Linked DNA regions of Stegostoma tigrinum. The protein of the gene in region 2 purifies or fractionates together with the protein of the main gene of each other region. This does not show direct contact. Links are inferred from orthologs where the notes say so. Each region holds a gene or a part of one and is shown on either strand. Other genes may lie near its edges.

Region 1 (7,132 bases), on a different chromosome or scaffold from region 2:
GAAATATAACCTCTGGGTAGGGTTGGTTGGGCCAAATGGCTGTTTCTTAGTCCTATGTTCTTCATATTACTATATAAATCCACGTAGTGTGATGTATCTTATGACCATTAAAAATGTCTATTTCTTCCACAACAATTTCTACATTTAGATTAAAAGCACTTCTTAGGGTGTGGCTCTTCTTTGTTTTAAACTTATCTGTTTTACAATTAAAAAAATACACTGATCATTGTACGCACAAAACTATTATAATATGGTATCATTTTCCAACATTCAATTTATTCTTGAATGTAAATAACTCTGACTATGAACTATTACTATTGTTGTTGAAAATGGTGCTAAAGTAATGAGTGATACTGGTACCAGTTACAAACAAATAGGGTGGTATTGTGCCAAAGGCAACATCTGTACTTCTATAAATGAACCATTGTGATCATATCTAATTTAATTCAGACACCTGGTGGTGATTTATTCATCAATACAGAATGAACAATAGATGGACAATTGTAGGCCGTAATTGTAAACTCCTTGTATTGGTATCTGTATCAGATTGCACCTCCTTGTGACACTCAAATAAGTGCTACAGTTTAATTATTGGATTCATAATTCAGTTAACAATGTAACATGAAGGAATAATTTAATAAGTAGTGTTGGTCAATAATCTAGTCCCATTAACATGTCTAAACATTAGAAAAGAAAATATTGACAGCAGGCTAAATCTGGCAGCTGATTTAAATGTTAAGATCAAATGCTTATTGAATTTCACTAATATTTCCATTTAACAGACTGATCGTAGGGAATGTACTGTCAAAAACAGAAATTTGACTCTGAAGTGTCTATCATTATAACAGGCAACAGAAAATCTCTTTCCTTGATTAGGAGGGGCAATGGAAATCCCATTGGGCTGTAAACTTTCAGAGACTGCTGTTTGTATAATTTCCCAACTGGTTCACTTTTGTGTAACAGTTGCATTCCCCTGAGCACATTAAGTCTGAACATGGAACCAATTGATTAAACAAGTCTCAAATTACACAACAATAAAAGCTAATTAGTGATGATATAAAACTTAGGCTATTATGATACAAGTTTGTCTGCAATATTTAATATTTGTTTTTTCATATATTTGGGAATTGTAAGACCTATAACACACGATACAGCTCACTAGTAAAAATGTAAACCTCTCGATGGTTGTGGATTTCCATAAAGTAACGAAAATACCTTATTTATCTCTAATGCAAAATACTGCAGATGCTGGAAACCTGAGATAAAATATTTAAAAGAAAACTGGAAATGTTCAGCTTGTCAGGCAGCAGCTGTGAAGCAAAAACTGTGGAGAGAAGCTATGGAGAGTTTCGGATTAGTGATTCCATGGACACTCCCTGACCTGCTGAATATTTCTAGCATGTTCTGCCTTTACTTCAAATTATTTGACTGGTATTTCACATCAGAAACTATCGTTTCTTCATTGCCTAGTTATCATCTTTCATGACACTGTCCGATAGAATTCAAAAGGCATTAATTTAGTAAGCAGCTATGAATCACTGAATTAATTTTAAGGTATCTACATTTTCTTCAATAAAATGGAGGCGGTGCAGTCTAAATAAGTCATGTGATTTCACAGCATATAAAAATAGCATTCATAGTTACTAATTAAATGCTATTACTGGCAACCAAATCAACACCTTTTTTCTATATGATGGACTTTTCAATGCAGATGCTGTGATATTATGGAAAAAAAACTGGTTGATTTTGCATTGACCCGTGTAGTCATCCCTACAGCTCTCAGAATTACAGTAATTTTGATATTAAAAAATTTCTTTATTATGAGTATTATTACTCTACTGTTCAGTTATTTTATGCATTTTGGTTTGAAGAATTATTTTACAAATACAGACATTTAGCTGCAATGAGAATATGAACACGAAAAAAATCATACAGCAAAATCCATACTGAGTCCTTTGTGGCATACTGTGTTATCAGAAGAACTGAGCTGCTGATTGTTGTTGTGTGTTGTTTTGTATAAAATTTTACAATCGGCATTAAATGATTGTAGCACAAATTCCCAATCACACTGAATGAATTACAATTAAATCATTCTACCTTCCTTCACAGCAGACAGCTCTTCTTCTCCTTGCTAACAGCTACATACTTGGTTTCTGCAAGCTTTCAGATTAAAGCATTACATTTTCTTAGCATCAACACTATAAAATAATCAATAATGGTTATTGCACAGTTGTTGATCATATCGGTTTGTGGAATACACATAGGGCTTTAATATCTGTAGTCCCAAATACAATCAAGTCTATTTTGGCAAAAAAATACAGTAATCAACAAAATTCCTCAGTGTAGAATTAAAACCAGGAAAGAAAAAAGGCTAATTTACCTTGTTCATTAAACTGTGAGCAGATATTCACTCTTCTCTTCTTAAAATTGGTTAAATATTCAGGAGAATCCAAGCTTACCAGCTGTGTAGGCAGCAGCCCTGAGAGACGAGTCCACACCCAGCTTTGTCTTCAATCATCATTCTGTCTACAGGAAGCAGCAGGTCTCCCACTTCCTCCCCTTTCTAGCTGCTGTAACTTCCCCTTCTCTGCCTCTCTTTCTCTCTCATTTAGCCCTTCTCTCCTGTATGCCTTGTGCTTCCCTCCTTGCAACTGTTCCTTTCACCAGCTTATTTCTGCAGCAATTCCACCGCACTTTACAACCAATGCTCTGCTCTCTGAGCTTCATTTGAAGCATTAGGTGAAGTAATCAAAGGAATTCATCTTGGCGTCTGAAATATTAAATAAATGATAAAATCATTCTAAGGGCTTGCTTCCCTCCACCCTCACTAACAGAAACCTCAGTGTGACTTTGATATTCTTCCCAGCTGCTGGCATGAAGGGGCGCTTCCTGAACAAGACTACCAGATAGACCAACATCAGCAGCAAAGACTGCCCATACTAAAACCCAGAGTTATGCTATTATATCTGCACCCAGTCTACTTCTATTATTCCAGCTCTTTGTTTGCAATGTTCCTAAGAGGGACACAGTGAACTTTAATAAAATGGATTTCCCCAGTGCTACCATGGCAACGGTGAATGACTGATTTCCTGTGTTGTTTATGTAAATGTGGCAATGCCTCTTTCTTTGCACAGCAGACACAGAACAGTAATCAGAATCTAATCCTCAGAGGTTTAAAACCAGAATATTATCGTTTCTTTAGACACTTCGAGTGTACGTCTTTTTTTCATGAAAAAAGGATGTGATTTGTTCAAAAGTAAAGTTTCAGCCATGACAAGTTATTGACATGTCACAGATAATAGGCTGTACATGTAATGTTTCCTTTGAGCGCCCCATTCACTTGTTACATAGCCTAAACCCTGAAGGGTGACAGCTGAGGATTTACTATTGATCTCTGTGAACCAGTGATCTCTAAACATTGTGTACTACATACAGCAGTAATTCAACCCGGATATGAACAAGACACATTTGGTCAGACCTGCCTGCGCACGACAACCTTCCTTTGAGTTAGAGATGACCCCAACCTGTACAGAGATTTCATTCTCAGTCCCACTGGCCTCAATTTTGCTGGGACTCAGCAAGCTATCAAAGAGGATAGAGGCATGTAAAAAGCAAGGTGAGTGTGGAGCTGTAAAGAAGGACGCGTTAGTGGGAGTATAAAGAGAGAGATTTCAGTGAGAGTGGAGCATAAGTAATGAGGAGAACATATAAAGGAATTGGGTATATAGGAGGTGAGCAGATTACAGAGAATACTAAGATGTATAGGAAGAGAGCACAGAAGACTGAACTGAGGTCTGTGGGAAAGAAATAATGGGAACTGCAGATGCTGTGTTCATCCAGCTTCACACTTTGTTGTCTTGAGGTCTGTGGGAGTTAGGTATACAGAAATTAGGTATACATAAGTGGGATACGTAGAAGTAAGCTATATAAGACTGGAATATACAAGAAGAGAGGCCAATATACAGGAAAGTGGAATATATGAACGGGAGTACACATGAACATACAAACAAGGAAAAAAAGAGTAGGCCACTCACTCCTTCGAGCCTGCTCCTTCATTGAATAAGATCATGGAGAAGGATATACAGGACTGTGATATACAGGAGCGTCTACTGTCAATTCTGAATCAGATTACAGAAAGAGAAACTAATGTCTGGAAACAGGTAGGCGACTGGATATTTCCTGTTTAATAGTAATCAGGAAAACTAAGGAATTTCAATAAGTGTAAGTAGAATATTAAACAAAATAAGGAAAATAAAAAAGCACAGACAGAACTGAAGGCATTAGTTAAATTTAATTAATTAATAAATTATTTAACAAATTATGACTCCATCAAGTTGGAAGGGCAGGTGATATTTTGTAGCTGAGGAAATTGAACAATTGAGTTTGGTGAGCGAAGAGTTTGTGTAAATTTTTGTTTTTAAACTCGGTTCTTAAAATCAAATCTAGTCAGTAATTAGCAATAAATGGGAAGTACTATGCAAATAAGCTTAAAATTTTAGCTAAATGGTTAAATCTGGTGTCTCTAATCCCCGTACAGTTCCTAAAAATTATGTCGTTTAGTGCAGCCAGAGGAAAACAAATCCATCAAGGAAATTGTTTGCAATGTTGAAAGTTTTTATCTAAAGTGGGGAGTTTGATGAAGATGGAGAGGAGAAGCAAGTGTTTGTGTTCTTTTGCTTTAGCTTTTTAATACTTCTGCCATTTAGGAATTGATTTTGCTGCACGACAAAGAAAGCAGCCAGTTTGGTGCATATCTGGTATGTGTTCTGTTTTAAAACAGTGTGCAAGTTGGCGGTAATTAACTAAGATCTTTAAGGATGCAGGATTTATGATCGGTAAAGGCTGCATCATGTGGGAGCTGCTTGATTCTATTGTGATCTAGGGCAAATGTCTGTATAAAATGTTTCACTTTCAAGTAGCTTTTGCTCAGAGTTAATGAGTTGGAGGTTCAACTGCAGACACTGCTGTGCAGGGAGGGGCTAAATTACATGGATTATTTGTGCTGGGAATCTGTCACACCATTTAGGATAGGGCCTGCTGATTTAGTAAGTGGTCAAAGACAGGAGGGCGTGACTGTACGTGAGGCAGACAAGTTGATCCAGAGGGTGGAAATGCAGGAGTATCAGTGTCCAATAGGATTGAAGATCTCTCAGCTTGATTGGCTGAAAATGAGGCTAAAAGCTGAATGAGCAAACTAACTATAGTGCCGAGGTATGGAGGGGGTGGCATTTAAGTGATAGAAACAACAAGAAAGTGGTGGCAATCAGGGGATTACCACCATTTTATCCAACAAAGGGCGAGGCACCAGACAGCTATAATGCCTGCCAGAAGTGTCAGTGTTTGAGACACTTGCTGAGGCTGGCAAGGCATTTGTACCTGGAAGGGGAAGATTCAGTTTTCATGGTCTATGTTGGTACCAACTACCTAGGTAGAACTAGGAATGACATTCTGCATAGACAGTATTAAGAGCTAAACACAAAATTAAAATGGACTTCTTACTGAAGGTGGTAGCAAATTGTTCAACCAATCCCTCCCACAGCTACCGAGAATACACCTCCTCCCACACACCATCCTGCAAAAATTCCATCCCCAATTCCCAATTCCTCCGCCTCCGCCGCATCTGCTCCCACGATGAGGCATTCCACTCCCGCACATCTCAGATGTCCAAGTTCTTCAAGGACCGGAACTTTCCCCCCACAGTGGTCGAGAACGCCCTTGACCGCGTCTCCCGCATTTCCCGCAACACATCCCTCACACCCCGCCCCCACCACAACCGCCCAAAGAGGATCCCCCTCATTCTCACACACCACTCCACCAACCTCCGGATACAACGCATCATCCTCCGACACTTTCGCCATCTACAATCCGACCCCACCACCCAAGACATTTTTCCATCCCCACCCCTGTCTGCTTTCCGGAGAGACCACTCTCTCCGTGACTCCCTTGTCTGCTCCACACTGCCCTCCAACCCCACCACACCCGGCACCTTCCCCTGCAACCGCAGGAAATGCTACACTTGCCCCCACACCTCCTCCCTCACCCCTATCCCAGGCCCCAAGATGACATTCCACATTAAGCAGAGGTTCACATGCACATCTGCCAATGTGGTATACTGCATCCACTGTACCCAGTGTGGCTTCCTCTACATTGGGGAAACCAAGTGGAGGCTTGGGGACCGCTTTGCAGAACACCTCCGCTCGGTTCGCAATAAACAACTGCACCTCCCAGTTGCAAACCATTTCCACTCCCCCTCCCATTCTTTAGATGACATGTCCATCATGGGCCTCCTGCACTGCCACAATGATGCCACCCGAAGGTTGCAGGAACAGCAACTCATATTCCGCTTGGGAACCCTGCAGCCATATGGTATCAATGTGGACTTCACCAGCTTCAAAATCTCTCCTTCCCCCACCGCATCCCAAGACCAGCCCAGTTCGTCCCCTCCCCCCACTGCGCCACACAACCAGCCCAGCTCTTCCCCTCCACCCACTGCATCCCAAACCAGTCCAGCCTGTCTCTGCGTCCCTAACCTGTTCTTCCTCTCACCCATCCCTTCCTCCCACCCCAAGCCGCACCTCCATCTCCTACCTACCAACCTCATCCCACCTCCTTGACCTGTCCGTCTTCCCTGGACTGACCTATCCCCTCCCTACCTCCCCACCTATACTCTCCTCTCCACCTATCTTCTTTTCTCTCCATCTTCGGTCCGCCTCCCATCTCTCCCTATTTATTCCAGAACCCTCACCCCATCCCCCTCTCTGATGAAGGGTCTAGGCCCGAAACGTCAGCTTTTGTGCTCCTGAGATGCTGCTTGGCCTGCTGTGTTCATCCAGCCTCACATTTTATTATCTTGGATTCTCCAGCATCTGCAATTCCCATTATCACTGAACAACCAGGACCTGTTTTGGGGGAAAAATAGAATCTCTGCTATTGAGACAGTCTACACCCGAACCAGAATTGGAATAAAATTCTTGTGGGAAGGTTTGCTCATGCTGTTGGGAAGAGTTTAAGCCAGCTCAGCAGGGGCAGGGGTCACAGTGCATTCAGTCAATAGTGAAACAGTATAACTGCAAAAAGGAACCAAGGAAGATCAAGTTCAATTGAGTTTCCAAGGAGTAAGGTAAGGTTGGGT
Region 2 (7,895 bases):
GAACCCCATATTAATACTACTTATGTTTGGTATTTGTTGAATTTCAGAGCTTTGAGGGAGATGGAGACAATTGGTCAGTATGTGACCATACTGTTACACATAGCTGGATCCATTGAGATTGGACAACTAAAAGTTAATCTTATCACAGATAGGACTAGCCAGGCATTAAAGATCCTGCAGTGAAAGCACATGTCCTGAGAGAGGGGAAACATCTCACAAAAAAGTGATCGGCATGGCAGCAGTTTTGAGATTGTGAACCATTAGCTACAGCGTATAAATGGGAGAACAGATGATGGGTTGAATTAAGCTGATTGACGTCCAAGGCCAAACGAGAAAAGTATTTCGGGAATAAAGGATAAATAGTTGCAGAAAAGCCAGTGGAAAAGTAACAGACAGATGTCAGAACGTGCATACATGGGCAGCACGGTGGCGCAGTGGTTAGCACTGGTGCCTCACAGCGCCGGGGACCTGGTTCAATTCCACCCTCAGGTAACCACCTGCGTGGAGTTTGCACATTCTCCTCATGCTCCTGCTTCCTCCCACAGTCCAAAGACATGCAGGTTAGATGGATTGGCTGTGCTAAATTACCCATCGTGTCCAGGGATGTGCAGGCTGGGTGGGTTAGCCATGGGAAATGCAGAGTTGCGGAAAGGGTAGGCGGGTGGGACGCTCTTTAGAGGGACAGTGTGGATTCAATGAGCTGAATGGCCTACTTGCACACTGTAGGGATTCTATGATTTTATATTACTCACACAAAAGATAGGGAGGAATGTTCAATGTGGGGGAATTAGTACCCTAACTGCAAGAAACTGGAATCACTTTTCACACAAGTGTTGAGCTAGAAAAAAAGCAAAGCAAGCTTATACAGATGTCAGCCAGTGATACACAAGCGATCCTTATGATGTGCGACATCCCAGACAGACCAGGGATGAAGCTGGCTGAATTACTTATGTTGTCACTGTTGACTATTATTCTGATTATTGGAAAAAAGACTAACCAAGTCAACAGCAAACAGTGAGATTGTCAAATACAATTCAATTGTTATGGCATTCCAGACATTGTGATGAGTGATGACGGCCCTCATTTCATGCTTGAAACATTCATTCGCTTCCTACAGGATTGTGAAATTCACCATCATACATTGGCTGTACACTATCCGCAGTCAAATAGAAAGGCCGAGACAAAGGGATCAGAAAGAAATCAAGTAAATCTGGCGCAGTCTTGTACAAGGCAATCCTTGAGCAGAGTCTAAAGGCTAATGTCACAACACACACAAATTATCCTTCCAATAGTGGAAATAAAACTATCAATGCCGGAAGCAGTAATATGTATAATATAAACATGAAATGACAGGAAGCAAAAATTCATTTTAATAAAACTGCCAAGTAGTTGCCAGAACTGAGCATTGGAGAGCCAGTCAGAGTCCAAACATTCAACATTCTCAACAATGGTTAGTTCATATAGCCAATTGGGACTTGTGGACAGCTACATTTAACTTGATCACACACAATGAATATCAACAACGAGATTTGTCAAAATAGCCGCAGATACATGCATACAACTGGAGACCAAACACCTTTACTACAGGCAGCAAACCAGGAAGAAGTGATCTCATCACCTCCACAGAGTACAGGACAACGTTCAGCCCTGGAGTTTCATTGTTCCCCAGCAATAGAAATGGATTAGTAACAACAGTTACCACACACTACCATATGGGATCAACACTCACTGGTGAAGGAACATCACCTTAAGAATGAGCAGGCAAAAGAACAGCCATCGGCAATGCCCAAACAAACAATTATGAGATCTGAAATAAATAGGGAGAGAGGGGGAGGCAGACCAAAAGATGGATAGAAGAGAAGATAGGTGGAGAGGACAGTATAGGTGGGGAGGTAGGGAGGGGATAGGTCAGTCCGGGGAGTACGGACAGGTCAAGGGGGCGGGATGAGGTTAGTAGGTGGGAAATGGAGGTGCGGCTTGAGGTAGGAGGAGGGGATAGGTGAGAGGAAGAACAGGTTAGGGAAGCAGGGATCTACTCAATGTACCGATTACTTATATATGTAGAAACTAATGGCAGTTGAACTGACTAGAGTTAACGCATCCTGGTCCCTTCGTGAATGATAACGTTCATTGTTAAACATATATACCGGATAACTTGGATAACTTATAACTGCAAATGATAGTGTTCATGTTTCTTTTTTTTAACCAAAAGGGGAGTGTTTGCAGAAATACCCTTGTATTTAGTGCACCAACTGGTCATATGACCAGTTCTTCTGGGAACTCCTGTTGGCATCTGTTAAAAACACGTCACTTAAAAGAGGAAGGAACAGCAAGGGTCTCTTACTGGCCCTCTATTCAGCTGACAAGCGATTCACTGCGTCAACAAGATTCCACCCTATGTTTCAGGTCAATGACCTCTCATCAGAACCTTTCTATTAATTTCTCTCTCTACAGATGTCCAACTTCTGAGAATTTTCAGTAATTCCTGATAGTTTATAAACACAATTTCATCATATGCAAAGAACTACTAAAATCTGAAATAAAAGAAAAATAACCTAGATACTGGAAATCCAAAATACAAGCAGAAAAAGTGATGGAAATATTCTGCAGGTGCGACAGCATCTGTGAAATGCAAACAGAGTCAATATTTTAAACTGAATATAATCTGAAAGAAGACTTGTATTCAAAGCAAAATGCTAACTGTTTGTCTCTCTCCAAATAAATCCAGATTATTGACTATTTTAAGCACTTTCTGTTTTGTTCAGCACCAAAATCCATACTCGATTTACTCAGATAAAAGAAGATGTATAATATTTGCAAAGTTTAACAATTTGAACTGTCACACAGATGACATCACGAATTCCTCATTACAGGTTGTTATTTAGCCTTTTAATTCTGAAAATCAATTAATTCCAAACATATGCTGGAATGGGAACATCTGAAACATTTATCTGCATGTAAAATGCCAACATTTGAACATTGAGTTTAAATTCAGACATACCTGAATGCTCCAGGAAGAATGCAGATGGGAGGCTGAAGTCAGGCTCTGAGAGACTGAGGATTTGAGAAACTAATCCAGCTTCAGTGGCTAAGTGATAATCTATTTAAAGGGTTACAGGTCATTTTGAATATTTTTACTGACACCTTTCGACAGAGCCTTTTTATAGTCACTGTAACTTTGCACTTTATTACAAGAAACGTAAGGAATCTAACAACTAAATACATTGGATATTTTGTGTGTCTCAGGAATGTTTGGAATGATTAGCTGTTCAAGAGATTCATGACTCAGTTGACGTCTTAAATAGATCAGCCAGTTGATCACATGGTTTAGTTTTCCAAATACGCAACACAGCATCTGAAAACTGTCAATCGTCCTTAAAATTCCTTTACAATTTCAAATCCACAAAATAAATTTTAAAAAAGGTGTATATTTTAATTGAATGTACAAGTTTGAATATATCAGTGACCAGGGATGGTCTGAACAACTTTGTTGACTTAGACATTGGGTGGAGTATTTACATTTTTAAAAATATAATTCATGGGATGTGGTCATCTCTGACTCAACTAGCATTTATTGCCCATCCCTAATTGCCCAGAAGACATTTAAAAGTCAACCACATTAGTCACATGTAAGCCAGACCAGGCAAAGATAGTAGATTTCCTTCAATAAAAGGTGAATTGGATGGGTTTTCACAACAATTGTTGGTGGTTACATGTTACCATTAGGCTTGCTGTTAATTCCAGATATTAATTTCATGATTTATCATGGTGGGCATTGGAACCCAAGCCCCAGGAACATTAATCAGCTCTTCTGGATTATCAGACCAGTGACATCACACAATGCCACTGTCTCCCCTGATAATAGGTGATTGTGTAGAAATTATGCTAATTAAAGTTTTATCAGACTACCAAATATTTTAAAATTACAGCACAAGAGGAAAATATTACAAATCCTGAAATTCTGATTAAAACAAGTGATGCAAATAGGAAGTTGTTGGCATCTGAAGAGATTGGAAATGGGTTCCTGTTTGCATCGGGAATCCCTTAGTATAAACGAGAGGGTGGAGTGAAAAGACAATCTGCCTATGAAGGTGGATCCAAAGTTTTTGAAAATTTTGTTCTGGGAGAAGAGTTTTACTACTGATAGCACCGCATGAAAATTTGAAAGCGCCCTGCCTGATTTTCCAGATCAGGTTTTTGAAAGCCCAGAGAGTAGAAAGTTGAGTTAGAAGTATTACTACCTGCACCTGAGTGAACTAAACAGGTGACCCTGATCAACATTTCCAGAAAAGCAACTGGTGAATCCACATCTTTGCCTGTGAAATAATGTGCAACTTTTAAGTAATCTGGTCAGTTTTATTAATTTCTTTTTATCTCGACTGACTGATTCTGTATCCACTGCCCTTTTGAAGAGAGTTCAAAATATCTACCACACTTTGTTTGTAGAAGAGCTTCCTAATATCACTCCTGAACAGTGTAACCCTAATTCTCAGTCTGTGTTCCCTAGTTCTAGAAACCCTGATAAGTGGAAATGGTTTATCTTTGTCTACCTTGTCTTTTCCGGTTAATGTCTCGAAGACATTGATAAGATCACCCTTTAGACTTCTACATTCTAGAGAAAACAAGCCTAATTCGTCTAACCTCCCCTCACAATCCCTGAAGTCCGAGTAGCATTCTTGTAAACCTACATTGTAAGCCAACAGTTCTCCAAAGGTCAATATATCCTTTTTAAGATGTAGTGCCCAGGTCTACTTAACCTCTCTGCATGTGAAAGTCCCTCCATACCCGATATCAGCTTAGTGAGCCTTCTCTGCACTGCCTCCAATCCCAGTAAATTTTAGTGACCCAATGTTTTCAGGGAGTATTACAGTCCATGACTGCTGATTCCTGAATAAATTAGTCAAAATGTCATATCGTAGTAACATCCCTACTAATAGGGTAAGTTCTCTTTGAATTTGAAGTGGTCATCCTGAGCAATAATTACTGACTTTAGGAAAGCCAAATCATATTTATTGCCCAAGCCAACAACAGTTTATGAAATTAAAATTGTAAATATCAATTGAGAGGAGAATTAACTCATCTGGTCACTGTTCCATTTAAAGTAAGCCAGTACAACTTACCAGTCTAATTATTTAATGGCCTAAATAAAATGATAGTGCCAGTCCATGTAGGAGGGCAGGAGAGAAGTGGGACCAGGTCAGCGGAATTTGAAACTAGATAATATCAAACTGCTCTCCAGTAAAAAAAAAAACCCTATTTTTAATCCCAAAGCAATGTTTCACTTTATTAGTGTTTGGTAATGTCATCCTTTCTTCACAACGGGGTCAATCACTAAGGGACTAATCTTAGGTCCACTGTTCCTGCTTTACTAGTGTTATCATCATGGACTAATTGTACCAATGTTTAAATGGGTAGCTCTGGCTAATCAAGGCCTCAATTGCTGAGATGGTAACCCTGGTAATAAAAATGAAATTATTAATCTAAACGTAGGTCTTCGAGATTCAAGCACTAAGGGCTGTGATTACTTCTTTTGGCAGCTTGTTCCATTGTGAGGTTGCCCTTGTGGGGAAAATAGGTTGTTGGTATACCATCTTGCAAAAGGGGATGTCTTTGCAGTTTGTGTGGATCGTTCCCTTGTGGTTTGTCATTGTCAGAAAGCACTAGGCATTTGTTTCTGTTAATGTCCGTTCTATATAGTATAGAATATGAGTTAGCCTATTTTCCCTCTTTTGCTGTAGTGATTCCAATTCGAGATCCACTGATGAAGGCAGTGACACTGGTGTATTTTCCAGTTGAATCATGGAGTACGTTTGGATTGTTTCAAGCTTATCGAATAATAGGATCTTTGTACAGAAGAGGCCCTTTGGCCCATTGAGTACATCACCAAAAACTACACCACTACCTCCACTAAGATGACTTTAGCATACTAGGTCCATATTCTTGAATGTTTTGGCATTTCAATAGTTCATCCATGTACTTTTAAAAAAGGTTGTGAGATGACCTCACAGGCAACCCATTTCAGACCCCACCCCAACCTCTGGTGAAAGAAACATTTTCTCTAAATACTTCCTTTTAACATAAAAAGTGTACCCCCTTGTTCTTGACCATTCACCGAAGGGGAACAGCAGCTTTCTACCTACCCTGCCCATGCCCCTTATAATCCTGTAAACCTCAAACCAGGCCCCTGTCAACATCCTCTACTCCAGAATAAGAACCCCCGAGCTTATCCAGCCTCTCTCTGTAGCTGAAATTGGAGCAGTACTCTGGCTCTGTAGTTAAGACAGCAGTGGACATGGGTTTGATTCCACCCTCGGGCGACTGTCCAAGTGGAATTTGCACATTCTTCCCATGTCTACACAGGTTTGCACTGGGTGCTCCAGTTTCCTCCCACAGTCCAAAGATGTGCAGGCTGGGTGAGTTAGCCGTAGGAAGTGCAGGGTTATAGGGTAGTGTAAGAGGGGTGGGCCTGGGTGGAATGTTGGGTTGCTGTGACTTGATGAGGTGAATGGCCTGCTTCCACGCTACAGGGATTCTTTGAAATGCTCCAGCCCAGGCAAAACTCTGGTGCATCTCCGCCACACCTTCTTCAATGCAATTGCATCCTTCCCATAGTGAGGCAACTAGAACTGCACATGGTACTCTATTTGTGGTCTAACGAAAAGTTCTGTACAGGTTCAATATAACATCCCTGCTCATATAATCTACACCTCAACTGATAAAGACCAGGATGTGTCTTCTAAACCACCCTATTAACCTCTACACCCAATTTCAAGAATGTTTGAACACACAACCCAAGATCACTCTCAGCTTCTTGGTGCTGTGGGTAAGTCACCACATTTCAGCTACTTATTAAAGAAATCTCATATAAAATCAAGTACTGAAACAATAATTCAAACTTTATTGCACGTTGCAACTAAACACAAGACCCCTTAAGTAAGCAAGTATAAGCCTGCGATCCAACTTAGTGATTACCTGAATTAATGATGAAATCTGGCCAGGACTTCAACCAAAAAATGGTCTGTCTCTGGAAGTCTCCAGGATTCAGTCCTTCTGTAATGTTGTTCTGTTAAGTTCTGCTGTTGAGTTGTTCTGGTCTTTGATTCTTATGCAGATATTCATCCTTCAGTCTCTGAGGTGATATATTGATTGATATTGCTTAAAATGTCCTTTCACCAAATTACTGCAAGACTGCAGCTGGATTCCTTAACAAAAGTAATTTCTTTGTTCCTTGTTACATTTGGCAAGACACGGCTTTCCTATGATTACCTCCTTAAATTCTTCTACAGGGCAATCAGTTAGTTACCCGTGTTGCATAAAGCATCCAGTCAAGCAGGTATCAAAGCAGTTTTCTCTATGTAGCCCCCACTCCCAGACGTGCCAAATACTTGCAATTCCTGTATAAGTCAGTCCTTGTCTTTATTAGTGTGTGTGTGAAACAGCTTATCTTTTGTTGGTTCATTCAGTCAATGAGCTGTTATTAAAATTCTGAAGTCTATAATATCACGTTAGTGTCCTGACAGTCATTGAGAGCTAATTTGTCTCTTTTGCCAGTAAGGATCCATACAAATAGTGTACACAACTAATAAATATTTGATAAGCTGTGACACTTATACGACCATTAACTCTTTCTGCACTGTTTCACCTCTGCAATCTTTTTCTTAAGTATTTCTCACCATTGGATCCAATCCTGCTGAAGCTATTGAAAAATGCAGGCAAATTTGACACAGTGTCATGTCATGCTTTCATAGTACACACATTGTCGCCTGCCATTGAAAAAGCCCAGGTGCAGATAGTGTAATCTGTAAAGTCAGACAATAGCTGATAAATTGCAGAAACGTTTCAGAAATGGAGAAGATTTTGAATAACATTCAGGGAACAGATGGAAATGGGAAGAA

The links. Proteins that work in one complex are often made in the same cells at the same time.
Region 1: the proteins of guanine nucleotide-binding protein subunit beta-5 (region 2) and guanine nucleotide-binding protein G(I)/G(S)/G(O) subunit gamma-2 purify together in Homo sapiens (affinity purification with western blotting; 4 studies listed by BioGRID and IntAct, with this or other methods). This does not show direct contact. The link is inferred for Stegostoma tigrinum from reciprocal best matches to the Homo sapiens genes GNB5 and GNG2.

Annotation. Positions count from the first base shown.
Region 1 is NC_081363.1:45,370,084-45,377,215, reverse strand, and holds the start of guanine nucleotide-binding protein G(I)/G(S)/G(O) subunit gamma-2, read right to left. Parts: upstream 3,021-7,132; 5' UTR 2,381-3,020; intron 1-2,380. UniProt on the Homo sapiens protein: Guanine nucleotide-binding proteins (G proteins) are involved as a modulator or transducer in various transmembrane signaling systems.
Region 2 is NC_081386.1:20,114,363-20,122,257, reverse strand, and holds the start of guanine nucleotide-binding protein subunit beta-5, read right to left. Parts: upstream 3,103-7,895; 5' UTR 3,002-3,102; intron 2,574-3,001; exon of another isoform or gene 2,556-2,573; intron 1-2,555. UniProt on the Homo sapiens protein: Enhances GTPase-activating protein (GAP) activity of regulator of G protein signaling (RGS) proteins, such as RGS7 and RGS9, hence involved in the termination of the signaling initiated by the G protein coupled receptors (GPCRs) by accelerating the GTP hydrolysis on the G-alpha subunits, thereby promoting their inactivation.